Linked DNA regions of Rhinolophus ferrumequinum. The protein of the gene in region 1 interacts with the protein of each later gene in a pairwise test. Links are inferred from orthologs where the notes say so. Each region holds a gene or a part of one and is shown in the gene's direction. Other genes may lie near its edges.

Region 1 (7,292 bases):
TTTCTCTGCCTAAAATGACAAACAGTAATAAGCAGATACTTTTTGAACAGATCTTTAAAATCAGAGAGGGAGAGGGAAAAGAGGAAGAGAAGAGAGATGGAGATGGAGAAAAACTAAACATGGGGAAATTTACAAGACTGAAAATGTGCTGAATGATTGTTCTGGACTATATTAAAACTGTATTTGCTTCAGGAGGCATAGAGCCTAAGAATCAAAATATATTAATACAAGCAAATCAGGCATTATTACTTGTTTAGCACTTATAACAAACAAATGCTTTGTTAGATGTGAAGTTGAAACAACCATCCCTTCTCTCAGGTTTATGCAACAAAGAAAAAACATCCTAACATTCCAATTAATCCAACAAATACGTATTAGATCTTGCCTCTGGCCAGGCACTGAGAATGTGATGGTAAACAAGACAGACGTGGTTCCTGCTTCATTGAACTGACAAGACAGACAAAACGTAAGTAAACTAAAAAATTACAACTTGTCGATGAGTGTTATGAAGAATGTGGACGAAAAAGGGGTGCGGTAATAAATCTAACCGAAAGTAACGTGAGTGATCTGATCATAAATTCCTAACTGGGTAGGTCAGGGTACGAAGTCACGCCCCAGGCCTGCAACTTCTTTAGTAAAAAGTTTTTAAGCCAGCCCTGTCCCTTGTTCTTGTGCATCTAGGTTAACACACCTTTGAAATGCCAGAAGTAATCTTCTTTTCCTGACCCCTCAAGGAAGCACTTAATTTTGTTAGCTACTGTGTTTCCCCAAAAATAAGACCTAGCCAGACCATCAGCTCTAACACATCTTTTGGAGCAAAAATTAATATACGACCTGGTATTATATTATATTATATTATATTATATTATATTATATTATGTTATATTATAAGTAAGACCGGGTCTTATATTAATTTTTGCTCCAAAAGACACATTAGAGCTGATGGTACGGCTAGATCTTATTTTCGAGGAAACATGGTATTCTGTAACTTGCTTTCTCCCACCTTCTTGTAAGCTTCCTTCCATCCCCTCCTTAATTCTAAATGTATAAAAGAAGCTGCAAAACTGTCATTCTCCAGAGATTTAAGATGTTGCTTCCCAGCATGTCGTCAGTTTGGCTTGAGTAAATTCTTATAAAAATTCTCTACAGGTTTGGACATTCTTATGTTGATGAGAAAGTGAGGAAAGGGACGACAGGATATCACAGAGATACCAGAGAGAGGAATGTTCCAGAAAGGGGAATAACAAGTACAAAGACCCTGAGGCATGACTCATTTGGGGTATATATGGGAATAGCAAGGAGGTTGGAGGCTAGGAAGACTAGGGTGGAATAACTGAAAGGGCAATTCATGGAAAGTGGAGATGGAAAGGCAGCAGGAGGCCGGACAGAGGAATGTCTCCCAGGCCATGACAAGGACTTTGGATTTTACACTGGAGAAATGGGAAGTCTGTGACTAACTGACAAAGTTACACAGCTGGCAGATTTGGAACTAAAACACTGACCTTCTGACAAGGATTCTAGCCAGTTCTACCTTAGACCCCATGATTTTAAATGGAAAGTTTTTTCTTTTTTTACAAAGCCACCCAGTCAGAGAGACGTGGGGTTTGGATGATTGGAGTTTACCTTTTCATATTTTAAATTATTTGTATTTTAAAAAAAAATAATTGACATGAAACACAACTCAAAAGTGACCAAAGGTTTTCCAGTGCAGAGTTAAGACTCCTTCCCACCTCTGATCCCAGGCACCCACCTCTTTTTAGTCTCTTCTATGGCCTTAAAGGTGTTGGATTTTAAGATGACATTCATTCACTAACACTTATTGAGTCTACTCTGCCAGGGGCTGTGCCAGGTACTGGGGACCTAATAGACTAAGGTGAATCTCTGCTCTCTCAGAGCCTATTACCTGCAAGACACAAGAAATGACTTAATGGGGTGGCCAGGTGGCTCAGTTGGTTAGAGCGCAGTGCTCATAACACGAAGGTCACAGGTTCGATTCCCACATGGGCCAGTGAGCTGTGCCCTCCACAACTAAATTGAAAACAACTTGATTTGGAGTTGATGGTCCTGGAAAAACATACTGTTCCCCAATAAATAAATAAATAAATAAATAAATAAATAAATAAATAAATAAATAGAAATGACTTAACGTTTGATTGACAAATATTTTAAGGCAAAATCAGACCGCACAGTAAGAAAGGATGATTTTCAATTCCAAAATTATCACATTCTCTTTAATAAATTTTATGAGCTATATAGGGCATTAAAGACATTAACATGTTTTGGGGCACAGAAACGTGCATTTTGAAGGGATTTTCTATTCTGAATATGAAAACTCCCTAAAATATCTTGGTGTTCTTCACTAGTCTAGCCCTGCTCGATCAAAAATAATAAATAAAGGATGTCTTACATTATCTTAGGAAATCTATGTAAAAAAAAATAACTAATGAATAAGTCAGGGATGTAATGTACAGTATGGTGACTATAGTTAATAATACTGTATTGCATATTTGAATGTAGCTAGGAGAGTGGATCTTAAAAGTTCTCAACATAAGGAAAAAAACTGTAACTATTATAGTGACCGATGTTATCCGGACTATTGCAGTGATCGTTTTGCAATATATACAAATATCAAATCATTATATTGTACACCTGAAACTAATATGTTATACGTCAATTATACCTCAATAAAAAAATAATAATTTTTAGAAAGAAAAAATCAAATTCAGTTTCAGGTGCGCCTTTGAATTTTGTACCTATTCAAAAAGTACTTACATTGTATGTGGTTTTTTTTTTTAATTAGGGTACAGATTGTTCAAATGTTTGTCTGAAAGTAGGTGTACAGCTGTGTCTTCAGGAGGAAGAAAGGCAGCCAGGCTGTAGAGAAAAGGACCGTGGGGTAAAAGGGAGGAGTCCCAGTATTCTTATACCAGATCCCGACTCCTGTGGATCTTTAAGCCAGTGAGTTCTCCACCAGGCTTCAATTAAATCATCTGTCCAACGAGGAGGACCACACTTTCTCTACCTCACCATTGGAGTGTGAAATGGAAGGAGCTACTAACTCCTGAAGCACTAATTCAAACATTACCTCCTCCATGAAGCCTTCCTAGACTTTCTTGAGGAGATGGAGTCGGTGGTTCCATCCTCTAGGTTCAAGAGAACCATCTCTAACACTGTCCCAATTTCCTTGCATTGTCCTACTGCTTGGGGTTTCTCCCAGAGCCAGGTAGTTGTCTTAAGCCGTCTTTGAGGCTCCCAAAGGCCTACCAGTTCATATGTAGTTAGGAGTTCATTAAATACTTGCTTAATGAATAATACCTGTTTCCTTGTTTGCATTTGTACATGCTTCTTATGTGATTCTGAAAAGAATGTAAGACATGAATCCTCTTTCCATTAACAAATCGTCCTGGGATGTAAAATCATAAACAATACTTATGTTATGGGGGTTTTTCATTTCAAAAAATTACATTCCATTGGAGTATTTTTTCGATTTAAAAAAATTTTTAAGGGGGGGGGGGACACAGAGCTCCCTCCAAGTCTCTACACCTTGTTCTTCTCTAGCTAGTACCTAGCTCTTTAAAATGCCTTAAAATGTCCAAGAAATGTTTACTAAAAGAATGAGCTATTTTTTAAAATCTTTAAATGATGCACGACAAACTCAAGCCTTCCCAGGCTCTTCCCAAGACAGGATGTAAAGATTTACCTGGGATTCAGACGTGGAAAATAAGGAACAAAAATGGATAGCAAGACACTCCTGTGTAGTTACATGAGGATTCGTTTGGCTTTTTCCAAAATTTTCTTTCAGAAAAATACCAAATTGCTAACGGTAGTGATCTAGTGAGCTCTTAGATCTGGGGTAAGTTTCGGGGTCTCTCCCCGAAGAGAGGTCTCTACCTCCCCGCTTCTCTGTGCTTTCTAAACGGCCCGGGGAGCCTTTCATTGCCACGGCGAGGTTTTCGTTCTACCGCCCCGGGCCCTTCCCGTGAGCCAGCCGAAGTAGGCCCGCGTCAGTCTCCAACCTCAACCGGCAGGAGCTCGGAGAAAACTCGCGGGCACCTTGTTCCGGACCTCGGGACAGTTTAGTCCGCGGAAAGGAAGCGCCTGGACACCCGCCTGCCAGCTCAGCCGCATTTAGGTGTACGCGGAGACAGATGGCTGGGGACCTAGGACCCAAGGACGCCGGAACCTGGTGCCCGGGGGATGAGCGCAGCGGAGCATAATAGCTAACGTAGCGCCCCGCTGCAAGGCCCAGCGGAGAGGCGGAAGTTGCAGGCGCTGACGCACTGGGGGAATTTTGCCTCGAAGGCACCTTCCTGTCCGCGACTCCGCCCCCTCGGAGGGGCTCGGCTCCGGAAATCAAGATGGAGTCGTTGAGTCGAGCTGGGCAGGAGATGAGCTTAGCGGCCCTGAAGCAGCACGACCCCTACATCACCAGCATCGCAGACCTTACTGGTCAGGTCGCTCTATACACCTTCTGCCCCAAGGCCAACCAGTGGGTGAGTGCCGCTAGGACACTGAGGTCGCCCGCCGGGCTGCCGCCTCTTAAAGGGGCCGCGCGGACCACCCTGGGCTGGGGGCGATGCTGGAGGCCAAGGCGGCATAGACGCCTCCAGGGGCTGGAGGAGAGCCTGGCCGGCGCCTGAAGGATGTTGGGGGCCCGGGATTGGGAGAGAGGTGCAAGAGAAGTAGGGCCCAAAACATCCGGGGGAAAAGCCGATAGAGGGGAGGATTGGAGGAGGGTCAGTCTCCCCTTAGGGTCGGGTTCGGGGATGTGGGCGACCTGCCTTCTTCGCAGATGTGTTAGAGGATATGAGACCGGTGGGGTCAGAAAGATGCCTGAAAGATGGAGGGTTTGAGGGGCATTAATTAAATTACATATACATAATCTATAAAGTAAACATTCCTCCCTCCCCCCCACAAACACGTAAATAAGAGCCCCTTTCGCACAGGTATTTGGATTTAAAGCTTGAAATCCAATTAGTTTCAATTCTTGGAAAAGAGGAAGTGGGGATAGTCCGTCTTTTATCGAACTACACTGTATTTCCAGAGTTTTGGAAAAGAATTCAAGGCACTTAGAAAAAGGGCTCTCACATTAGTTGGATTCCCTTGAAACCTTTGGAAAAGAGACCCTGTAAATGTGTCTCGTTCCACCTATGCTGCTGGTGATGTCACCTCCAAAATCTCACATCAGACTAAATACTTTTAAGCTTTTTTTTGCACGCGAGGGGATCCGAAAAGTTACAGTCTGTTCACTGAACTGATTTGTTGACCCATTTGAAGCTTCGTTTGTTGTTTAAAACTACAATTTTCTGTTTTCTAGAATTGACCCTTAATGAACTCATTCAGTTATAGGCTTTACATTTACACTTAGAAAATAATCGTAAATATTTGATGGATTGAATTCATAAATTATTGATGTTCACATTTCAGTAAGAAACAAAATTCTTATGCTAACAAAACTCTGAAAGATGATCATCGTAGTATGGTCCTTTACAATATAATACAGATATGTTATATTTATACAGTAACTTTGTGAAAATCATTTGGCATTTTTAATTCAGATGAAAACAGTTGTCAAAATATCTTGCTTTGTATTCTTCTTTCCTTGATCTGGAAGAGGTATGAGAAGCCACAAAGAACAAAATTACAGATTTCTTCTTTTTTTAAGTGTAGCCGTTTTAGACATTGCCTTAATTTGAATTGTTCTGAATAATTTTTCTTTTCTTGGTCTACACATAAATTTGTGAAATATGGATTGCAGACAAATGTTGAAGACTTGGGCAAGGATTGATTTACTAACCAGCTTTTCTAATTTTTCACAGACTTTGAATTTTTTGGAATGTTAATTGTGGAGTTCTTTAAAAATAGAAATACAAGCCATAATAACCTGAATTGAGAAATAAGCTGCCATTGTTTGTTCATTTGGATTATGGCACATAGAGCATAACTAAAATCTTTTCTCTCTTTGTTATTTTACAGTGAGTTGTGACTGCATAGTGTTTTGTTTGGGCATGTTTTCTTTCACTGTGAGACAGTTGATTACCAATTTCTTATACTAATAACAAAATTGAAAGTCAAGAAAAAGCCTCTGAATCCTTAGGAAGGAAAAGCTCCATGATGATACATAAACTAGGGCAATACTCCTAGAAGAAATCAAGATAATAATTTTTAAAAAAAATTTTATCCCAACAAATTCAATTTGATAAAGTTTTCTAACAATTTGTTGATTACATTAAAATATTTGGGCCCTATCTGGACTGAAATGCAGACTAATATGGTTATTTGTTTTTGTTTTTTAAGATATTGTCACTATATTTAAGACCTAAATACACTCTTGTCACAGCAAATTAAAGAAGGTTGTGAGTTGTACTTTCTTAATCAAAACATTTCACTTTAAGCTAAAAAAATTTTTTTAATTGTTTGTAAAACCTACAATAATTACATTAAGCCAGAGAATTGTTTCAGTATTCATGATGCTTCAACAAAGTTCTAAAAATAACAAACTAGTTGTGTTTGACAGTAATTCTTAACTAACCACATTTGATACTCAATGAAAGTATACCCAAATCCCCCAATGATGAAACAAAGTATCCTATAAGATAAAATTTCCTTTTTTTCCCCTACTAAATTTGAGAAACTTTACAAGTGAAGAAATTGCTGTACCAAGGATCTTGCTTTAAAATTTAAAAATCTGGGAGGCCCTATGGCTCAGTTGGTTAGAGCGTGAGCTCTGAACAACAGGGTTGCGGGTTTGATTCCCACATGGGCCAGTGAGCTGCACCCTCCACAACTAGATTGAAGAAAACGAGCTGCCGCTGAGCTTCCGGAGGGGCGGCTGGATGGCTCAGTTGGTTAGAGTGCGCACTCTCAACAACAAGGTTGCCGGTTCAATTAAAGATTGAAAACAGCAACCGGACTTGGAGCTGAGCTGCGCCCTCCACAACTAGATTGAAGGGCAACGACTTGGAGCTGATGGACCCTGGAGAAACACACTGTCCCCCAATATTCCCCAATAAAATTTATTTTTAAAAAAATTAAAAATCTGGCTAAAACGTTTTTGCTTTAAAAAGTGAAAGCTAATTCTAGGTTTTTCTCCTTTAAAATTTGTAAAAGAAAAATGCTGCAGATACAGGCATGTTGCTGGATCAAACATTGCATGTACGTTAATATGCATCAATAGCATGGAAAGGATACCAAAAAATCTGGTAACAGTAGTTGTGGAGAGAGAGACTTACTTGACCTGTTCAAAAGTGATTAATTTTAGAATAAATAAGTTGATCTTTTCTGTTTTGTTT
Region 2 (7,239 bases), on another chromosome or scaffold:
ACTCATGGAAGCACACAGCAGCCCACGGCAGCTCACAGTACCTCATTCCGACCTCGGACTGCTCATGGCAGCCCAGCTCCAGGGAGAGCTGTTGTTCACAATCTTATCTGTAGAGCACAAAGCTCACTGGCCCATGTGGCAATCGAACTGGTGACCTCTGCCTTAAGAGCATGGTGCTCCAACCACCTGAGCCACTGGGCCAGCCCCTTATATTATTTTTTGAACAAAAAGATGCATTAGAGCTGATTGATTGTCTGGCTAGGTCTTATTTTCAGGGAAACAGTAAAAGAAGATAGTTATTTTGACAAGGTCTGTTTATACAGAATTCTCTCCACCTCAAACCCTCATCTCTTCTGGTAAGAATGTTTCTTTCTTCCCCATATAGGGAGGACATCTTTCACTCTCTCCTGTTTTCAGGAAGAAAAGGAGGTGGGATGAGATGACCTTCTGGCACCTGCTATTTCTCTAGTGACTTTAGCTCAAAATGATCCTTACGCCAAAGTGCCACGTTTTGGAGTGGCATATTCTGCTCCTCTTCAGCTGGAACTGGAACACCCAAACATCCAGCCTCAAAACATTTGATTTGGAGTGGGCGTTCATGCATCAGAACCCTTTAAAGCTCCCAGAATTTGAGAGCCCCTGGGTCAGAGTCACAGGACCTGTGGGCGTTTAGCATTGACTTCCTGTGCCCCATTTAGTAATCAGACGGAAATGGCTATAATGGCCGAGAACTGATTTGCAACTGCTCAGGAATGTGTGAGCAACTGGGAACACGCAGCAGATGCTTCCCCAGAAAAAAAATTCACCGTGTATGGAGGGGTGTGTGTTTTGATACCAGTTTGGCAACGAGATCAGGGCCCTAAGATCCATCAAAACATCAGGCAGGCACTCCCCTTTACTCTTTGTCAGGTTCCAAGAACTTGCTTCTAGAACCTAACGGAAATAAGCCATCAGCTGACAGACCTGCAAGCATTCAAAGTTGTACTCTGAATTCATACGTAAGCTTGAGGAATAAAAATAACCAAACCAACTCTTTTGAAATCGACACACTGGGCGGTAAGTCACCCAGCCTGAAAGCTTGGGAGTCCAACTAGAGATTTGTTCCACAGGTTTGGCAAACCAGGGTGATTGCCCCAATTGCCCTAATGCTCATGGGATCTAAAATACAATAAGCACCAGCCTGCAACTTGCCAGTCCTCCAAAGGAGGATTGTTACTTTCAGAAACACCTTTAGGTAATGTATCTAATACATTAGGTAAGGAAAGGACTTCAGCAAGTGTGGGAATCCTTTCCTTCTCCCGTCCATTCCACAGGGTTCGATACAATGTCTGTTACCCGCAGTCCTTAGTGATGTTAGCAGGTTGATTTTTGTGTTTACAATCGGCATTGCCTGTCCTTGACTCTCAAGGGAAAAACTGAGGAAATGAATCTCCCAGACACCAGCTTTCCTTTCTGATAAATACCATGTTTCCCCGAAAATAAGACCGGGTCTTATATTAATTTTTGCTCCAAAAGACGCAATAGAGTGTATTTTCAGGGGATGTCTTATTTTTTCATGTACAACCATCTACATTTATTCAAATACAGTCATGTCATCTTCTTTTGGAACATCGTCATAATGTACTAAATGCGTCCGTGTGGCTGACGATCTTAACCGGGGCTTATTTTCGGGGTAGGTCTTATTTTTGGGGAAAGACGGTAGTAAAGGGAAGGGCTTTTGAGTTCCTTTAGGGCCAGGATGGAGTATCATCCACTGTTGTATCCCCAGGACTTGGCAGAGTGCCTGCTTCAAAGAAGACACCAGATAAATCTTTGTTCAATAAATGTTTGGTGTTAAATACCCACGTATTTATTATGCATTTGGCTCCTAGCATTGATGGCTGATCTATATCCTGAAAGCTGTTTGTTTGCAGCAACATTTTCCTGTTTGAACTGAGAACTACTAATTGGATGCTGTTGGTGGAACTGATTTTAAGACCAGCCTGCGGAGGTTGTATCAGATGTCCGAAGAGGGTGTGATTTTCGGTAAACGTTAATGAAGAATGAGGCAGGAGCTATTATATATTGAGAGGCTGCGGCGAGTCTGGGACACGGTAAAGGCTTTAATAGTGCTCTCCTGAGGGCAACCTGACTCTTGACGTTCTGGCAAAGAACCTGGTTCGGCCAGGCAGCAGGATGGAGGCTTCATACTGCCCAAGCAGCCCCAGCAGCCCGTCAGTGTCTGCTCTGGACAAAGCACCTTTCAGGCACTGGGGAGGACACAGAGGTGATTCAGACACAGATGCTACAGGCAGCATAGAGCCTGGCCTCTGGACTCTTGCGTGTGTAGCTTTCAGCTCTAAACTGTCTGACCTTCAGATTCTTCATCGGTCCAGTGGAGATCAACATAGATCCTACCCCATAATTTGTGAAAATTAAATGAAATGATGTGAGCAAAACAGTTTAGCACAGGGCAGGGAGGCAAAGTATTCAATATATTATGTGCATGTTTACAAGTATCCAATACATTACCTGTGTGTTTATACAGATAAGATTTGGAGAACAATTGAATTCTGTAATGCCATTTTGGGCTGCTAAAGTGTTTTTTTGTTTTTTGTTTTTTAAGTGACACAATCAGATCCGTGGAGGATACAGAGAAAGAAGGGGGTGAGGGTGGGAGTGTAGCAGGGATGAATTTGAAAGATATCTGGGGGATGAAAACGAATTAGAAAAAGAAAATGCTCAGATTGAAAACAGATTGTTCATGTTACAAACCATTAGATTATAATAAAAAAATATATTGTATGGGTCTTTTCTGAAATCAAAATTTTGACCCATTAAACACAGCCTGGCTGTTTTCTGGCCGGATGTCTAAGCCAGCTATTTGAAGTTTTAGGAAATAGATTACACGTCAGTAACCTAGCAGCTGTTTACCATGTACAGTAAAGTACATCTTATTTGACTATAATATGATTAGCACCAGAAAGTCCCATCCTCAAAAATATCTCTTCTACATTTTGCCAAATTAATTTGATTAACAAACTCCTTTTTTAAAATACGGTCGCTTAAGTAGTTTTCTTAAGAAAACTTAAGGCCCACAGCTAGAAGAACATAGTGGTAGGGGATGATGACAGTGAAAAATTGATGATTTAAAATTGAGTTATGTGGGACTTATAAAATATATATACAAATCCTGTAACGAAAACGTTCACAGAATTGGTGTTCTCTTTTAAAACACTCACTTTGGGTTGCTTATCCATTCACTCCGCAGAAGTTGCCCTTCCTTTTCCCTGCACTTTGCTGGCATTATCTTTTCTCCTGCTTTTCACTTGCAAATTGGGCACAAAGGGGAATAACAAACTTTCCTTGTGCACTTAACGTGCGAGGCACTGTGCTCAGAAAAATGAAACCTGGCCTTGCCCCTCGAGGGTGTTTTTGGGGATGGGTGGGCAGATACACAGTCGCAAGCAGTTAACGATGCGGCAGGAGGAAGGGCTCTACTCGAAGTTTACGGACCAGTGGGGACACAAAGAGGAAGTGACTGACCTGGTCCGCGCGCGTCGGAAGCGCGTTCACAGGGGAAGCAACTTCTGAATAATTTCGAAGCTGGGGTGGGGAGGACAGGAGGAACCGCAAGCTTTGGGAGCTGCAAGTAAGTTCTCACGCCGAGAAACAGAATGAGGGGAGTGACAGGCTCCAAGGAACAGGGGCTAGGTGTCGGAAAGCAACTTTGTTGAGAATCTCCCAGCTGTAAAACAGTTCCACGACCTGAACTCGGGAACCTAATGGCCCTTTCAGTAATTCCCCCAGGGAGGAAAACCAGCCGGGTCCTAAGGGCCGCGGGCCCGCGGGCCGGAGAGCCAGGTTGGAGCTGCTGCCGGCGCAGACTGCTGACGCCCCATCCAGGTGCCGATCAAGCGACGGCAAAGCTGGCTCCTGGAGTCGGGGCGCTGGCGTCGCGATCCCAGGGAGTTGCCGGGGCGGAAGGCGGAGGCCACCACGGCTGGGGGTGCCGAGAACAGCTGGGTGGACGCCTCTAAAAAGAGTCCGGTGTTAGCCGAGGGCCCGCAGCAGTTGTTCCCGACGTGCTCCTCTCCCGGAGAATTTCAAACCCTCCGCAACCACCTCCTCCTTCGATCGCCCCGGCCGCCCCAGCAACAGGCGGTGGCTCGTGTATCATTGGCCGGGCCTCGCGTTGGAGCGTTTTGATTGGCCGCCATGCCTCTCGGCTCCGCTTCTGCGCTCGTCGCCACCTCCATTTTGTCGGTAGAGGCAGAAGGAGGAGGTTGGGTTGAGTTGCCGAGGTGGTTAGCGGGCTCGTCGGTGCTCGTGGGCTTTGTTCGTTCCGTGCCTCGTCTCTCCCTGGAAGGGGAGGGGGCTTCGTCGCCGAGCAGGAGCCGCCGCTACCGCGGTCCGAGTTTGAAGTCGGTGAGTGGCGGCGGCGCCGCGGGCGCGGCCATGTTGGCCGTCGCGCTCCCCATTGTTGGTGGAAGGAAGCGAGATCCGGGAACCGGGCGGGGCGCGGGCGGCCGGGAAGACCGGGTTCCCGGGCAGGGCTTGAGAAAGATGGAGCCGCTCGGAAGCCGAGCCCCATCGGAAAAAGTGAACTTTCCGGGCTCGCGTTGTGAATGTCTCTAGGTCTGGGAACTCGTAATTTACTCCTGGCTGTTAAAATAGCCTTGAAGGCCCTATTACCCTTTCGAAGAGGGCTTGTTGATAACTTGGTTTCCTGGAATATCAAATGAAAAATCTTGACTTTGTCATGTGCTCCGTGGGGAGGCGTTTTTATATACTTAAGATGGGAACTGGATTAGGTTACGACGTATGAAAACTTAAAACGGGGAGGAGTGGACAGTGTTCCCAACTAAAGAAAAGTGCATGTAGATTGGGAGAAGAGGCTTTGTGAAAACGGATATGTGATGTGTTGAAAGATTGAAAAATTCTGGTGGGACTTTACAAACAAGGTCTCTTCGGGAAACTAATTTTAACCCAATTCCCTTGTCATGGCAGTAAAGGCTAATGCTTTTCTGGTTTGACTTAAATTAACATCGTGGTCACAAAAACTGAGAATCTGAAAGGTCTCAAGGAAAAAGATACAACTTGTTAGGGGACTTGTAGAAACCCATCTCATAATTCCCCAGGAAGGAGTTCCTGGGTATCAAAGCGGATGATGATAAGAGTTCTTAAATGATGACAGTTATAAGCTCAAAGAAAGCCATCTTCAGATTTTCTGCCTTTTAGTTCAGGAAGTAGCCATTCTTTAGTTAACTGATTCTGTAGTAAATATAAATGGTCAGTTTCTCCTCTGTTTTTGATTTGAATTAATGAAGCATACTTTTCTACCTAGGACTTGTCTCAAAACTTGTGTGCTGAGGAGACTCAGATGTTGGCCTCAGCTCCTAGGCTGAAATCAGCAGATTGGCCCATGAAAACTTCTGTATTGAGACAAAGGAAAGGATCCATCAGAAAGCAACATCTATTATCCTGGGCTTGGCAGCAAGGAAGAGGACAGGTAGTGGAAATCCTGCAATCTGAAAAGCAGACTGAAAGGTATGAAAAAATTCACCTTGTAATGGGGCATTTTTATGGTGGACTTACCCTATTGTTTTTATTTTGAAATAGAGGATTTTTCAGATTTGTGGGTAAGCTCATCTTTCTTAGGAAGGTAATAAAAACTATGCATAACGAAGTGTGAACATACAATGAAATTAAAGCAGCCGAATAGCACAGTTTTGAGCCTCCCTCCAGATTTCTGGAGTTGCAAGTTGGGGGCTATGGAAGCTTCTTCACGTTTTGAATTTTTCTTATTGGAATTTTATTCAGTTATTTTGTTTCCGTTCACTTACAGGTGACAAAGAAGCTGAAGATGGGTGGTGGAGAGAGGTATAACATTCCAGCCCCTCAATCTAGAAATGTTAGTAAGAACCAACAACAGCTTAATAGACAGAAGACCAAGGATCAAAATTCCCAGATGAAGATTGTTCATAAGAAAAAAGAAAGAGGACACACTTACAACGCATCAGCAGCTGCATGGCAGGCCATGCAAAATGGGGGGAAGAACAAAAATTTTCCAAACAATCAAAATTGGAACTCTAGCTTATCAAGTCCCAGCTTGCTTTTTAAGTCTCAGACTAATCAGAACTATGCTGGAGCCAAATTTAGTGAGCCGCCATCACCAAGTGTTCTTCCTAAACCACCAAGCCACTGGGTTCCTGTTTCGTTTAATCCTTCTGATAAGGAAATAATGACATTTCAACTTAAAACCTTACTTAAAGTACAGGTATAAAATAAGATAAAGTACTGATGTTCAAACTTAGTTAATTTAAGGGTAGTTGTCAGTTGTTTCATACCAAATTCATTAGGGAAATTAATCTGTGTAAAACTGCTAATGTAGAAAATCTAGACTTCATCTTGTGTGGTGTGCACTGTGATGTAATGGTAGTATCAGTGCAACTTAACTAAATTACTGATAACTGTACCAGACATCAAGTGGTCTCAATTGAGTAACTTAAGTGAAACCATCCAAGTTTAGATTTGGGGAATGGTAAAAAATTAACTTGATTGCTTTTTGGGGTAAAATACTGATTTAAGATTATCATGAATAAGTTAGTCGATTTACTTGTTAAAAGCTAGTGAAACTGCTTATAAGCATCTAGTTAACATACAGGGATTGAAAACTAGTTGAGTATTTGCAAGTTTAATGTCCTAGAAACACCAAAACCAACACAACCTGATGCACTGCCAAAAGAAAATGTGAATTTTTCTTAGAGAATAGTTGCAGTTTAGTAAATGTGGAAGGGGCAACGGGGTTGTTTAGAATGAAACTATACCCCAGTGGCCCCATTTCTTATATGCAGTGGATAGGTGATTGCCAACAAATGCACCAAAACCATTTTTATAGAAAACAATATTTGATGGTCAGCAGAGTAGCTTTCAAAATACATTTTTGTATTATAGCACTGCACAAGCTATTCTTACTGGTCTGGCCTCAAATCATCCCTGCAAAGCTTGCTTAAAGTAGGGAGCTATATAATGTGAAAATTTTGAGTACCTAGAAAAGAGCCATGTAAATATATGTAATAAAGTTGTAGCATATGTAAAGTTTTGTTGGCATTTATCCTACAAAAATAGAGTATTTTAGTATGAATTTGCTGAATGTAAGACCATGGACTTTTTTACACTATGGCCTAATTTTAAAGGTCCAAATAATGTTTTTAAAAGTTTGCCCTTGTGCTAAAGTGCCAGTGTATGTATCTTATA
Region 3 (7,324 bases), on another chromosome or scaffold:
TTTTTTCCAAGTCAAATTGTTGTCCTTTCAATCTTAGTTGTGTAGGGTGCCGTTCAGCTTCAAGTTGTTGTCCTTTCACTCTTAGTTGTGGAGGGTGCAGCTCCAGGTCCAGTTGCCGTTGCCGTTGCTAGTTGCAGGGGGCACAGCCCACCATCCCTTGCCGGAGTCGAACCGGCAACCTTGTGGTTGAGAGCCCTCGCTCCAACCAACTGAGCCATCCAGGAGCTCAGCGGCAGCTCAGTTCAAGGTGCCGTGTTCAATCTTAGTTGCAGGGGACGCTGCCCACCATCCCTTGCGGGACTCGAGGAGTTGAACTGGCATCCTTGTGGTTGAGAGCCCACTGGCCCATGTGGGAATCGAACCGGCAGCCTTCGAAGTTAGGAGCACGGAGCTCTAACCACCTGAGCCACCGGGCCGGCCCCTATGTTTAACTTTTTGAGGTACTGCCACATTGTTTTCCACAGTAGCTGCACCATTTTACATTCCCACCAGCAATGCATAAGGATTCTAATTTCTCCACATCTTCACCAACACTTACATTTTTTAATTTTTATTTTTAATTATAGCCATCCTTGTGGGTCTTAAGTGGTACCTCATTGAGGTTTTGACTTGCATTTCCCTAATGATTAGTGATGTTGAGTACCTCTTCATTGTTGGTCATTTGTATATCTTTTTTGGAAAAATGCCTATCAAGTCATTTGCCCATTTTAAATGGAGTTGTTTATCTTTTTGTTGTTGAGGCGTGTGTGTTCTTTATTCTGGATACTAGACCCTTATCAGATATGATTTGCAAATATTTTCTCCCATTCTTTAAGTTGTCTTTTTGCTTTCTTGATATGTTCTTTGAAGCACTGAACTTTTTAATTTTGATGAAGTCTAATTTGTTTATCTTTTCTTTTGTTGCCTGTACTTTTGGTGTTATATTTAAGAAATGCTTGCTCAATCCAAAGTTATTCTTTTTAATTCTAATCTCTGTTTAGCATTTTATAGTCCAGGACCTGCTTTCATGTACATTACCTCACTTACAAAATGACATGTAAGAGTTTAAGACACTTAAACCTTTTAGATCACATAAAGCAAAAATAATCTTAAGTAATTAGTAATTTGGGGCTTGCTTAGCCCCCAAACCTATACTAGATAAGTGGGGTGACTTAGAATTTGTCTAAACCAGAACATATTTGAGAGTAAAGGGGGTGATATTGATCCTTATGACAGGGTAATGGGAAGAACTGGGAATGTTTCAGGCAAACCAGGACATATGTTCCTCTATGTGTAAGTAATGGAGACCCAAATCCCAGTATTGGATCCACCATTAACTTGCTAAACCCCCACTTATATTAATGGGGGTGAAGCAGGCCATTTCTAAGGTTCCTTCCAGCTCTGCCATTCTAGAACTCCACGACGTGCCAGCAAGTCAAGGACTGTGGATTAGTGCTGTGCTATTCTCAACCTAAGAATTTATTTAATTCTCCAATGGTTGACGTCCCTGTTGGCGACTGTTACTGGTAGTGAGGACTGCAGCACATGAAAGCAGAAGCAAGTCTCCATACATCAGGAGAGGCAAGTGGGTGCCCCCTTATCTACAGTGGTCCCCAGAAACTTGACTGTAGGGCCGGGAAGGGTCCATCCAGCTCAAACAACTGTCTATAACCAGCAGTTCCTGGTGGAATTCTCTAACTGAGGAGTTTGGGAAGACTTCAGAAGAACTTGGTGAGTAGCAAATTCTGTCACCTTCTTCTTGCCTCCATAGCTATTGTCATAGCTCACTTCTCACCTTCACAGTCAAACCTCTTGAAGTTCTCTACACTCACTGCTTCCATTTGCTCACCTTGCATTCACTCCTCAACCCACAGAAATTTGATTTCTGGCCCCTTCACTCCACGCTCGAACCCCTGTCAGAATCACCAGGCACCTCCTGGTTGCTAAGTCTAATGGACATTTTCAGACTTCCTCGTCTTCACAGTAGTCAGCACTGTTGACGACTCTCTTAAAAGTCTTTTTCCTGGGTCTCTTTGGCATCCTCAACTGCTGGGTTTTCTTGTTTTCCTAGCTACTGCTTCTCAATTTCCTTTGAATCATTCTCTTCCTGTGTGTATCCCTTAAATGCTGGTGTTCCACCAAGTTCTGTCCTTGGCCTTTGGCCCTTCTCATGTGGTGTGTTATTCCTGGACCACAGCGCCCATTACTGGGACTTTAATTACTGCCTGGTTGTTGATGACTTCTAAATCTCATCTCTCTCCTCAGCGCCACACCCCCATGATCCATTTCCCACTAGAGGCCCTAACATGAGCATCTAGTTAGCAGACTCCCTAACATGAGCATGGCCAGGGCAAGAGCACACACGAGATCCCTGACCTGTTCCCCATTTCTTCCCACCCCTATTCCATCCCATACTGTGAGGGGCTTCTCAGGTCCACATTGTGAACATCCCAGCCTAAATATCCAAGCCCCATTCACACTGTTCCCAAACAGCCATGTTTTTGGCCACCCCTTGGGCCTAGGAGTCTCACACCATGGCAGTGAGTTCACCCTCAGGAGGACAAACCTGGGGAAGAGACTTGGCTACGGGCTGAAAGTGGACTCAGGTCATTTGGGAGGACATTTGGGAATCCCAGGAATGAGAAATGGAGCAGGTCTGAAAGTGGGAGTGTGAGCTCTAGGTAATCATGTCTCCTTAGCCCCACAGAGAAAGGCTTGGCTTGAGAACCAGAGTGGGGGCCATCTAAAGTGTGGGATCTAGGGCAAGGCCCCCAGTTTTCCAAGTCTTAGGATTTTTAACTGCTCCCACAGGTACCTTAAGCTCAATATATGCAGACCTGAATTTATCATCTACTTCCTTTTCCTCCTCTATTACTGCCTGCCCACATCCTCCTCATTCTTGTCAATTCCATATCTGAGTAAGTAGCACCACCAAACAATCTTTTGCCTTAGCCATACACCTGGGAGTTGATCCTATCTCCTCAACACCTTTACACCTTGTAACCCAACTTGTAATACCTTAGTTTGGATTGTCATCATTTGTCAATTGGTCTCACTCCCACCATAGTTTCTTGCTTAAACGTCTTTGTTTTACGTTGTCTTCAGGATAAAACCAAGCTCCTTGGGGCATAGAAAGCCCTTTGGATATGGCTCCTGCTTATCATTGTACGTCAATCTATCATCACTTCCTCTTTTTACATATATGCTCCATCCAGTTGAACTACTGTGTTTCCCTGAAAACAAGACCAGGTCTTATACCGTATTTCCCCGAAAATAAGACTGGATCTTATATTAGTTTTTGCTCCAAAAGATGCATGAGGGCGTATTTTCAGGGGATGTCTTATTTTTTCACGTACAACAATCTACATTTATTCAAATACAGTCATGTCATCTTCCTCTGGAATGTCGTCATAACATACTAAATGTGTCCATCTGGCTGACGATCTTAACTGGACCTTTTTTTCAGGAAAACACGGTACTTGTATAATATTTCCCTGGATGGGCCAGCTTACCCACATTTCCTTGGCTATCTCTGCACCTCTTCCTTTACTGGAATCTCTGGTGATGAGGGACAGGAGGGGAGTCCCTGGAAAGTGGAAATTTTATAAAGTTCATCAACTGATTTTGAAAAGTCAGGTTTGGATCGCTGCCCTACTCTTTACTCCCTGTCCAACCAGTGGTTCCCAAACTAGCTGTCAGGCTTCAAGATGACCTCGTAAACTTTAAACTCTAACATTCCTCATTACACTCAGTCGTAGCCCTAAACGCCTGTTTTTTTCAAAATCAAGACTTCCAAAACTAAAATGCCACGGGAAGAGTGGCACTTGCGCGTGTACAAAGTACTTGGGGGCGGGTGACGGGGGTGGTCAAGCATAGACTGGCTGACAACCCCCAAATGAACATAAGCTGATAAACTGAAGATCAGCCACGAAGGGAATTTCTTGTTTCCTATAATCCGTCCGGAGAGCCTACTTATAGCATCCCACAGCTGCCACTGATTAAGGACGGGGTGGCCAGCCCCACTCCCCCCAGTCTTCCGCTCTTGCTCGGAGATTGGCGCAAAGCGGGGAGGGAAAGCCGAAGCTTGTCCTCAAGAATGCAAGAAAGAACGGAGTCCCCCGGCATCTGGGCCGGGGAGGGCGGCGGGACACCGATTCTAACCAGGAGTCCAGCCGCTATAAGTAGAAAGGACATGCAAAACGGCCGCCCCGGCGCGGTTCCGGGAGGCCGCAGGTCTGGCTCTCAAGCTCTCAAATTTCCCGGGCGCCCCGCCCCCCAAAGCCGCACCCTGAGGTTTCCAAGGCGTCGCGCCGGAAGTGACCTCACGACGGCGGCGTGGAGACGCGGGGCGCTTCCGGCGGCAGTGGCGGCCCCGGCTGTGGGGGTGGGCGTGGAGTGGCCCCTCCGTCTCCGGGTTCCGTGGCGCGGCTGGTCGGCTCGGCTTGGTGTGCCGAGGATACACGGGCCCGACGGCGTGGAGGTGGGAGCGAGGGGCGGCGGCTGGTTTGTGGGCGCTCGTGAGAGGGGGCTTCCGGGGTTGCCAGGCGAGTTTGCTTTTAGGTTTCGGGGTTCCAGGCCTCGGAGACCTTTATGGAGGCGGGCACGAGGTGGGGCCACCTCGGGCACGCAGCGGGCCAGGAACTCGGGGCTGCCGGGGGGTGTGTGGTTCGAGGTGGGAGCAGAGGACCGCGGGTGTCCGGACAGTCTGGGAGTTGGCTGAGGTGGGAGGCAGTAGCGGCCTAGGCTCTTGCTTTGGCCTTGTTGATGGCTGCTGCGGCGCGGCCACTCGTTGCTCCGTGCCTCATCTCCCTTTCCACAGTAGGGTAGGGTGGCAGGGAAGAGTGCGAGTGCCACATCCATGACTGAAAGCTTGAGGACCCAGGTGAACTGGGGTCTGAAAGGGAAGGGTGGCGGAGAAATTTATGACACCTGCCAGGGCCCAGCTTCTGCTGAATCCTGGGGTCGGCCTCTTGATTCTTTCTTGGTGGTGGTATAAGTCTGAGCTGCTCATCAGTACTCTGTGTGTGAGATTGATTGACTTGATCAATAATTGACTTGTTGACGTGGTGAACGTGTTTTGGTGTGTGGGAGGCATAGTTCTTGCCTCCTTGGCCAGTTGGTTTTCAATAAATCTCCCAATTCTGGAGCTAGGATCCTCTTCCGTGTTAACATGAGGAACTGGAGACCCAGAATAGTTTTTCTTTTCTTTCCTGGCCTCAGACTAAGGTAATTTCATTCTGCTGTCTGTCGATACTGGTTTTCATCCCATCAAAGCCTAAGTGACTGTCTCTGAGCAAGTCCCTATATCAACTGGAAACCTCAGATGGATTCTAGTCTTTTTTTTTTTTTTAAATGAATAGCAGATAGGTGTACTGAGCACAAAATTCCTGTTTGTTGGTTTCTTTGTATGAAGTGAAGATGGTTATAAATAATGTAACTTTTTGATTACTAAGAATTTTTTGATGGCGCTTCCTTGTGGGAGTAGGGCTGCGGAACTAGCAAAGTTTCTCTCAAAGTTTTTTGAGGGGTGGATGGGTGACTCGGTTGGAGCGCGAGCTCTCAACCACAAGGTTGCGGGTTGGAGTCCCACAAGGGATGGTGGGCTGTGCCCTCTGTAACTAAGATTGAACACTGGTGACTATAGTTGGAGCTGAGCCGCGTCCTCCACAACTAAAATTGAAAGGACAACAACTTGACTTGGAGCTGATGGGTCCTGGGAAAAACACTGTTCCCCAATAAAGTCCTGGAAATACATACTGTTCCCCAATAAAGTCCTGTTAAAAAAAAATTAAAAAACAAAAAACTTTTAAATTATGACCCAGTTAGGTACATACTAACTACATCATGACTCAGTATGCCCCCTGTATGCACAGTGTATACACACACACACCACAAAAGTTTAGCCTTTCTACATATGAGGCCCTCTGACACCATTTCATTGAAAGAAAAAAAGTTGATTGCAACTCACTTACATTGACTACTAATGGGCCTGAAATGGGCCTGTAATTTGAAAAACACTGGACTAGAAAATGTTTAAATCCTTGTGATTCATTTCTAAGATTCTGCAGTTAATGCACAGTGGAAAATGTGTCATTTTTCTGTTCTTCTCAGCCAGAGTAGCAGTTACTCAAGTTATAAATTCAGCCAGAACAACAGGGCAGGACATGCAAATGGTGGCCCAAAGGAATGTAGTATGCATAGTGATAGTGTGTCTGTTTTAACAAGGCATTTGTTAAGTCTTTTATGATGGCCCCGTGAATTAGATGGAGGAATTTGCCAGATTGTGTTAAAATTAGATGGAGTCATAACTTTGAGTATCTGTGTCTGAGCAGTTTGATCCCACTTATAGCTGGGATTCTGTTGATCTGAGTTGAGACTCTGTCACTTTGTTTATATACAGTATGTTTTTGAAGTCTTATCTGGAAGGTGTGCTATCAAATATGTTGCCTTAATGAAGTGAAGAGAGAAAGTATCATCTGGTTAATCTCAAGATTTTCCCAGTGCAATTTAATGAAATGGAAGGGTTATATAAACGTGAGGAATTCCCTTGGATCCAAAAAATTCAGTTATACCAGTTAATGTAGAGATGGGACTTAGGAGGGGCTCACGTAATAAAAAGAAGTGGAGTCTCAGTCATCTGATTCAGGGGTGTGGTTAGACTGGGAGAACTGGTGGGGCCTGCAGTCGCTAGTTGCATTAAGGGAACGGAAGGTCTAGAATGAGGGAGGTACATCACTTGACCCCGGAACTGGTTGGCTCACACCTGGAATATTAGGTTTAGGTCTGGGTACTCTGTAAGAGTAAATTAATTTGGGGGTAGTAGTGAAAAGGAGTTGGAATTTGTCAGTTTTAAAAAGAATTTATTATTGGCTGTCTGAAGATACGGTGGCATTCCTTTGGCATGAGTAATTCTTTTTCCCCTTGTCATTTCAGGCATATTTGGGGTCAGTGTAGTCTTAACACATTTTTGCTTGAGAGTGTCCAAAACATTGGGAAATTTATGTATCTCTTACACACTTTTAAGTTGGCATCTGAAATTTTTCGTAAATTTAAATAGATTAAACATTTAATTTTTAAAAGTTTAGGGTGTAATTTCTGACATTGTGAATATTGACTTTTTAAAAATAAATACAAAGTTATCTAAATATAATAGCAATTTTATGTTTTAAAAATATACAAATAGCCTTTCTTATATAAAAATAACCCCTCTAAGATATGTATAAATGTGTATTACATTACTTGATTTTCACATATTAAGCCAATCTTTTGTTTCTGTAATGAACCCCATTTAGTCATGATGTATAATACTTTTTATATGTTGCTGAATTCAATTTGCTAATATTTT
Region 4 (6,929 bases), on another chromosome or scaffold:
TGGATTCCAAGACTCGCTTCAGACTCCTCCGGGACGATGGGGACAAGTAAGTGGGGCGTGGCCAAAGCAAGGCCAAGTTGAACACCACTGAAGTTGGTGATGGGTACGTGGAGACCCGCAGGATTCCATTTTTCATACGTCTGTAATTTATAATTAAAAGAAGAGAGTATTCCATGACAAGGGCCGGTGATAGCTGCGAGCATGGCCACTGACAAATGAGCCACATGGTGCTATCAGGGCGAGGAGGTGGCTCTGGAGACGGGATGCGACTTGGGCTTGTGAGGGTGGGAGGCCCAGAGACAGGAAAGCGCCGTGATTTTAGCTGCTTTCTGGGCAATTACCTTGGTAATTCAGAAAGGCGAAAAATAACCACATGTAGATGTTTTTATTTGCTTTTTTCTTTGATTTTTGATGAATGTTAGCACATTTTTAATATAGTAATTGGCTGTCTAGATTCCTTTTGTGAGCTGACTATTCATGTTCTTCACTCAGCTCTCTCTGGGGTGCCTGTCCTTTTCTTATTGATTTGTTAAAGCTCTTAGCATATAAAGGATACTTACTCTCTGTGTGTCCCATAGGTTGCAATATATTCCTGATAGCACTTTACTTTAACTTAGTTTACAGTGTTTTTTGGCATACATGTGTCTAACTGAAAAAAGAGTCCAATTAAACAGTGCTTGGGTCACACTTAGAAAGGCCTTCTTTTCCTTTCTAAGATGATAAAAATGTTCATCTTGATATTTAAATCTTTGCTCCAGATGCTGACTTGTAAGCAGCAAGAAAGAGAGTTCAGCTTTATTGCCATCTAGCCGGGTGTCCCAATCCCACCCAATTATTCCATCTTTCCCTCTCTGCTCTGAAATGCCATCGTCACGCAGTAAATCCCGAATGTCTCTGCCTGTACCTGCACCAGCGTCACCATCAGTCCTGCTCTAACCGTTTTCTCATTGTGTCAGGCCTGTTGTCCCCACAAGAAGGCCCTGACTGGCTTGGACACCATGTCTGCTGCCTTGGTCAACCCATCACCTACCACAGTGTTGGGCCCAGAGCAGAGCACGGAGGGCCCCACTGCTACTCCCCAAATCCCCAGATGGCTGGCTCACCCACCCATGGACTGGAAGCCTCCCGATTTCTTCTTCTTCTTGTTCTGGGCTCGCACCATTTCTCGCATGTCAGGCTCCACGTCCGAGGTGCATTCTGAGGTTGGGAAGGTGGGCAGTGGTCTGCCAGGTCCCAGCTGCGGGGGAGGAACAGAGAGGCAGCAAAACTCCAGGCACCATGAGACCACTGGTGGCAGGGAGGGGGGCTGTCCTGTTCCCAGTCTGCCCCCCATTCTAGCCTATGACTCGCCTGCCAGGTTACATGACTTCTCTGCTAGCAGGCTCTCTTTTGACTGGGCCAGACAGGGCAAAGGGGCAGAGAGTGGGATCTGCAGACAGACTGCCTGCGTTTCAATCCCAACTCTGTCACTTACCAGCTGTGAGACCTCATACAAGGGACTTAATCCCCCTGAGTCTGTGTTTCCACATCTGGGAAACAAGGATGACAAAAGTATATGCCTCACAGGGTGCTGTGAAGACTAAACAGGTATGCGGGACGCTTAGAATGGCGCCCAGCACATGGTGATATCAGAATCATCATTCTAGCCTGTCAATCAAAGCCTTCAAAATTAAAAACCCTACAGAGCCCATCAAAACATCTACTATGTGTGGAGGTACTAGATTTTTCCAAGCTGCCTTGCCCCCTCTCCCCAATCTTCTTTCTGATTCATTACCTCTCCCTAACTCCAGTCTCTGTCATGCCTGCCTCTTCTCTGCCCATCCAGAACCCACTTGTCCTAACACAGCTGAGTCCAACCCAGACGCCTCCTCTGGGGAGCCTTCTCAGACTACAGGACTATCCCCTTCCTCTCAGAAATAACACGTATGGAGCACTAATTCATAATAATGGCTAGAACTTACACGGCACTTATTCTAAGCCAGCTGCTGCTGTGGATTAACCCACTTAATCCTCACTAGTACCCTGGGAAACGAGAACTATTATTTTATCCATTTTACAGAGAAGGCAACTGAGGCACAGAGCAGTGAAGTGACCGACCCAAAGTCACCTGCTAGACAGCAAGTGGGGGATCAGAGTCTGTGCTCTTTGCATTGTGACCCTCTATGGTCCACTACACCATCTAGGTCAGAGCTGCAGCCTGTCTATGAGCTAAGGATGGTTTTTACATTTTAAAAGATTGTAAAAAATCAAACAAAGGAGACAGTGACCTTATACAGGCCTGCAAAACCTAAAACATTTACCATCTGGTTCTTTACAGTCATGTGCTCTAGACACATGACAACAAAGTGTCTGAACACACCCGTGTCCCACCAATATTTACGGAATGAGCAGAAAATACGAATACCGTCATTTAATCCCTTTCACAGTCTGTGACGTACACATACTCATCTGCGTTCTACACAAGTGGAAACTTCTGCCTTCTACAGATGTGGCTCAGAGAGGTTAAGCAACTTTTCTAATGTCCCACAGCCAGTAAAAAAGGATTGGGCCAGATTTGAACACAGGGCTGTGCCAGGACAAAGCCCTTGATCTGAACCACGCACATATGTGGGCTCCTCTTTGGTACTTAGTACTCTGCCCTCCTCCTGTGCTGCTCATTACCTTTATCAGTTACTCCAAATTTAGAGCACCTACTATGTGCCAGGCACTGGCTTGATGGGGAACAGTGGGACAAGGTCTGGTCCCTGCCTTGGAGTGTAGACCCCTCTTCATATAAACACCTGCTTGTTCACCTACCTACCCAGAGCTGCTCTGTGCCAGGCACTGGCTGGGCACAGGGCGGAGGGGCATAAGGAGCTAGTTCTGCCTGCTTGGTGTTCACACACCTGCCCTCCTTCCCCATTTGCCTACAGTTGGCACTCAGTAGCGGAAATAGCACAGGCCCTGGAACCAGACAGTCCCGGGTTTGAATCCTGCCTCTCCTACTTACAAGCTATGAGGTCTTGGTCAAGTTCCTTTAACCCTCTAGGCCTCAGCTTCTTCCTCTGGAAAATGGGACGACAATACTTAGCTTACAATGTTGGTGTGAGGAATAAATGATAAGGCTCCTTAAAACTCTTAGCACAGAGCCTGGCACACAGTAAACGGTAAACAAACCCAAGTTTAATTTATTACTATTAGTTTCCCAGAGGTTTGGGGGCGTCACTGTCCCAAACTGCGGCGTCCGGCCTCCCCTAAATTCAACCTCTCAAGAATCCCCTAAACTCCAAACTCAGAGCTTCAAAATCCGCACTTTTCATTGGACGAAACGGAACTAGGACCCGCCCCTGTGTAGGAGATAGCCAATGAGGGGCGCGAACAAAAGCCGGCCAAGAAGGCCCCAAGGCCCTAGCCTCTGGAACGCGCCGGCTCCAGCCGCCAGGACCCGGGGCTTGACAGGCCCGAGACACGTGCTCAGGCCGGCAAACCTGCCGGACTCCTGGCCAGGCGACCCCTCCCCACCCTCCGCAGTGCCCACTCCCCAGCTGGGGAAACGGAGGCCGCGGGGCGCTGCGCGGAGCCGGGGCTCGGGCTCCAACGTGTGTCCCAGCCCCGCGCTAACCTTCTGGGCGCGGGTGTCATCTTCCGCCTGGATCTCAAACTCGCCGTCTTCCGAGTCGCTGCTGCGGGCCTGGGGGGCCGCGCCCCGGCGTTTCCGGAGCCCCTTTTTCTTCCTCCACTGGGCCATGGCAGCTCGGGACCGCGGTCCAGCCGCCGGGCTAGTACCCGCCGCCATGCGGGCCCCGGCGCCAGGAAACGGGAAGGGGCGGAGTCTGCGGGGACGTACCACCGGCGCGGCCCTGGCCGCGCTCCCGCCCCTTCTGCCGCCGCGGGAGCTCGGCGCGCCCTCTCACGATCCCCTGACTGGCCCGCGAAGCCCCTCTCGGAGGCTTTGGGCATCTCCGGGAGCGTTCAGAAGGGGGACCCCCTCCCGGGAGCCAATGGTTCCGGCCGTGTCGCCCCGCCTCTGGCTGGTTGCTGTTTGAGACGCGCGCGGAGCACACGTCGCTAGGGCCTGGCTACCCGGGGTGAGTCAGTCCGCGCGGTTCCGGGGGCGGGGGGTTCTGGGCTCCGGGATTCCGACTCCAGATAAACGGGGGTCATGGATGCACCGCGGGTGCTCAGGCACCCCCACAGAGGAGTCCAGAGCTGGTGGGGAGGGGCACTGAGGGTTACAGCCGGCATCCGTGAGACAAGATGCTCTGGTAGGAAATAAGAATTCAGGGACGTCGGACGTCAACCCGGGCATTGACTTGGGGATTGGGGCGTGTGGGGTAGTGGGGGGTGGGGGAGGGATCCCCCTATAGTAGAATGGTTAAGTGCACAAGCTCTGGACTCCTGTCAGGTTCCAATTCCACTTCTATTTTAGTTTTGTAGGTGTGACTTACACATGTGACTTCACCTTTTGAAGCCTCAGTTTTGTCATCTGTAGAATGGACATAAAGTTTCTTCCCAAGACTATTGAGAGGGTTAAATGAGACGATGTTTCTAAAGCTCTTTGCACGAGGTAGGTATGAGATCAAAACGGATTATTATTACTTCCCCATAGATATATACAGGATGTAGGGACCTGTCCTGTCTCGCCCCATTGTTTGTTTTCTGGTTGGTGCCAAAATGGGCACAGGTCCCATCTTTCCTTTATCCCCGTAAGCGTTCTATAAATATTGAGCACACACTGTATGCTAGGAATACATAATTATTAAACACTTGCTAGTAAGACCCATCCACCCCCATCATTCTGACAACTAAAAACAAGTCAAACAAATTTCTGAAATGTCCCCTGGGGTTGGCAGTTCCCCTTTGAGGAGGACTGCTTGAGGGAGAACCTGACCCTTTTGCTGTTGAGGGAGAACCTTGGGGACCTAAGAGACTGCCATCCCTGATCTGCTGGCACTGCCGATGACACAGGGGTGGCACTCTGACCCCCTTTCACAGGGAGCCCTGGAGGCAGGGCCTGGCAGGCAGAGCAGGCCCACTGTCACCTGGGACTACGGACGGCATGAAGACCCCTGTGGAGCTGACCATTACTGGGATGCAGAGCCTTCACCGCCAGCACCGCTGCCGGGGTGGCTATCAAGTCAAGGCCAAGCCATCGTATGTGGATGAGACTTTGTTTGGCAGCCCTGTGGGCACCCGGCCCACACTACCAGACTTTGACCCACCCTGGGTGGAGAAGGCCAACAGAACCAAAGGAGTGGGCACAGAGTCTTCACAGGCCTCGGGGGCCAACAGAAGCTTTGAGACCACCTCCTCCAGGGGCAGTACCGCGACCCTCACACCAAGGAAGAAGAACAAATACAGGTAACAGGATGGGGAAATGCACTCCTGCACTCAGTGTAGCCAGCTAGGCTCCTCTTAGAACCCTGCTATTCACATGCTGTGTGACCTTGGACAAGCACCTTGACGTCTCTGAGCCGCAGTTTCCTGAGGTGAAAAATGGGATCTCATGGGATTGTTGAGAGGATTAAATGAGTGAGGTGTGTGTACAGTGCTTGGCACGGTAACCAGGCAATTAGGAAATTTTCGATAAATGGTAGTAATAAAGGTTATGACGGTGGAATACACATCCCGAAACGTCACAGACCAGGCATCTGAGGCCCAGAGAGGTCAGGATTTGCCCAAGATGACAGAGCAGTTTGCATAAGATTATTAGTGTGACTGATCATGAAATGACATAGCTGTGGTAGTTCCGCATTTCAGCAAGTCATTTTGAAAACAGTTCTTGTTGCATTTTCATGAACAAGTTGGAAAATCAGGAGCTGATGCTAATGGTTATAATTAGGTTATAATTAGATTATTTGGGTTATTTCAGGTTAATACAGCCTGGAGAAGTATCTAGTGGTGAGCCACAGAGCTCTATCTTGTTACCTGTGGTTTGGACAGAGACACAGGAGACTGGCATATTAATCAATTCTGGCTTCCATGACAAAGTACCATAGACTGGGAGGCTTAAACAGTAGACGTTTATTTCTCACAGTTCTAGTGACTTGAAGTCCAAGATCAAGGGGCCAGCTGTTGGTCTCTCCTGAAGCCTCTCCTCGGCTTGCTGATGGTCACTGTTTCGCTGTCCTCACATGGCCTTTCTCTGAGCATGTGCACGCCTGGTATCTCTTCTTATAGAAACATCATTCCTACTGGATTAGGGCGCCGCCCTTATGATCTCATTTAACTTTAATTATCTCTTTCAAATTTAACATGAATTTTAGGAGGACACAATTCAGTCCATAACAACTAACCAGTCATATTTAGGATCCATTCTGAGTCAGAAGGGACATACCGTAGTAGTCAAGAGAAGGGAATGGTGTCTATTTAAGGAGATACAATTCAATGAGATAAAAGCAAGATTCCTTATTATGTCAGGTTGGGGGCGATGCACCTGACAAGTTCTGTGAACCACAAGGCAGGCTCAGGTTGGCATTAGCAGCGCTGATACCTACAACATGGCTGAAAACACTGATGTCAGGATAGGCTGCATTAACAGAAGTATGGTGTCCTTATCAAGGGAGGTTACGGTCAACCCCATGCTCTCCTAAAGAATGGAGTTTTGTGCTGGATGCTGAGAAGTAGAGGGTGTCAAGTGAGAAGGTGCATAAGAGGTAGAGGTGTTACTGAGCAAAAACTGCAGCACCAGACAGACACAGGCTTCAACCAGACGTGTTTTGAATAGTTGAATCAAGTGACAAAAGGCTGACTTTTCAAAGATTTGAAGTTTGGGAATGGAAGCACTTTTCAGTCCTGGCCAAAAAAACCAGGGACCTGACTCACAGGTATGCCATGAATATTTGTGGAATTAATTTAAAAAATAATTGCTGAATAAATCTAATTAAAGGTGAGAGGCCTAAAGGTCTGATTTACTGATGGAGAGCTTGGCTCCTTGAGCCAGGCTGGGT

Evidence for each region.
Region 2: the proteins of DCP1A (region 1) and PNRC2 interact in binary tests that used the Homo sapiens proteins (3 or more experiments, as listed by UniProt). The link is inferred for Rhinolophus ferrumequinum from reciprocal best matches to the Homo sapiens genes DCP1A and PNRC2.
Region 3: the proteins of DCP1A (region 1) and EDC3 interact in binary tests that used the Homo sapiens proteins (3 or more experiments, as listed by UniProt). The two-hybrid records come from large-scale screens. The link is inferred for Rhinolophus ferrumequinum from reciprocal best matches to the Homo sapiens genes DCP1A and EDC3.
Region 4: the proteins of DCP1A (region 1) and RITA1 interact in binary tests that used the Homo sapiens proteins (3 or more experiments, as listed by UniProt). The two-hybrid records come from large-scale screens. The link is inferred for Rhinolophus ferrumequinum from reciprocal best matches to the Homo sapiens genes DCP1A and RITA1.

What each region holds. Positions count from the first base shown.
Region 1 is NC_046300.1:48,756,189-48,763,480, reverse strand, and holds the start of DCP1A (mRNA-decapping enzyme 1A), read left to right. Parts: upstream 1-4,278; 5' UTR 4,279-4,358; coding exon 4,359-4,493; intron 4,494-7,292. UniProt on the Homo sapiens protein: Necessary for the degradation of mRNAs, both in normal mRNA turnover and in nonsense-mediated mRNA decay. Removes the 7-methyl guanine cap structure from mRNA molecules, yielding a 5'-phosphorylated mRNA fragment and 7m-GDP.
Region 2 is NC_046292.1:16,339,945-16,347,183, forward strand, and holds the start of PNRC2 (proline-rich nuclear receptor coactivator 2), read left to right. Parts: upstream 1-4,235; 5' UTR 4,236-4,407; intron 4,408-5,326; 5' UTR 5,327-5,529; intron 5,530-5,827; 5' UTR 5,828-5,845; coding exon 5,846-6,265; 3' UTR 6,266-7,239. UniProt on the Homo sapiens protein: Involved in nonsense-mediated mRNA decay (NMD) by acting as a bridge between the mRNA decapping complex and the NMD machinery. May act by targeting the NMD machinery to the P-body and recruiting the decapping machinery to aberrant mRNAs.
Region 3 is NC_046289.1:99,281,752-99,289,075, reverse strand, and holds the start of EDC3 (enhancer of mRNA-decapping protein 3), read left to right. Parts: upstream 1-4,320; 5' UTR 4,321-4,459; intron 4,460-7,324. UniProt on the Homo sapiens protein: Binds single-stranded RNA. Involved in the process of mRNA degradation and in the positive regulation of mRNA decapping. May play a role in spermiogenesis and oogenesis.
Region 4 is NC_046308.1:7,991,310-7,998,238, forward strand, and holds the start of RITA1 (RBPJ-interacting and tubulin-associated protein 1), read left to right. Parts: upstream 1-3,925; 5' UTR 3,926-4,067; intron 4,068-4,099; exon of another isoform or gene 4,100-4,244; intron 4,245-4,408; 5' UTR 4,409-4,546; intron 4,547-4,974; 5' UTR 4,975-5,038; coding exon 5,039-5,340; intron 5,341-6,929. Other genes in the region: ATP-dependent RNA helicase DDX54, read right to left, coding at 1,108-1,237, 3,602-3,775. UniProt on the Homo sapiens protein: Tubulin-binding protein that acts as a negative regulator of Notch signaling pathway.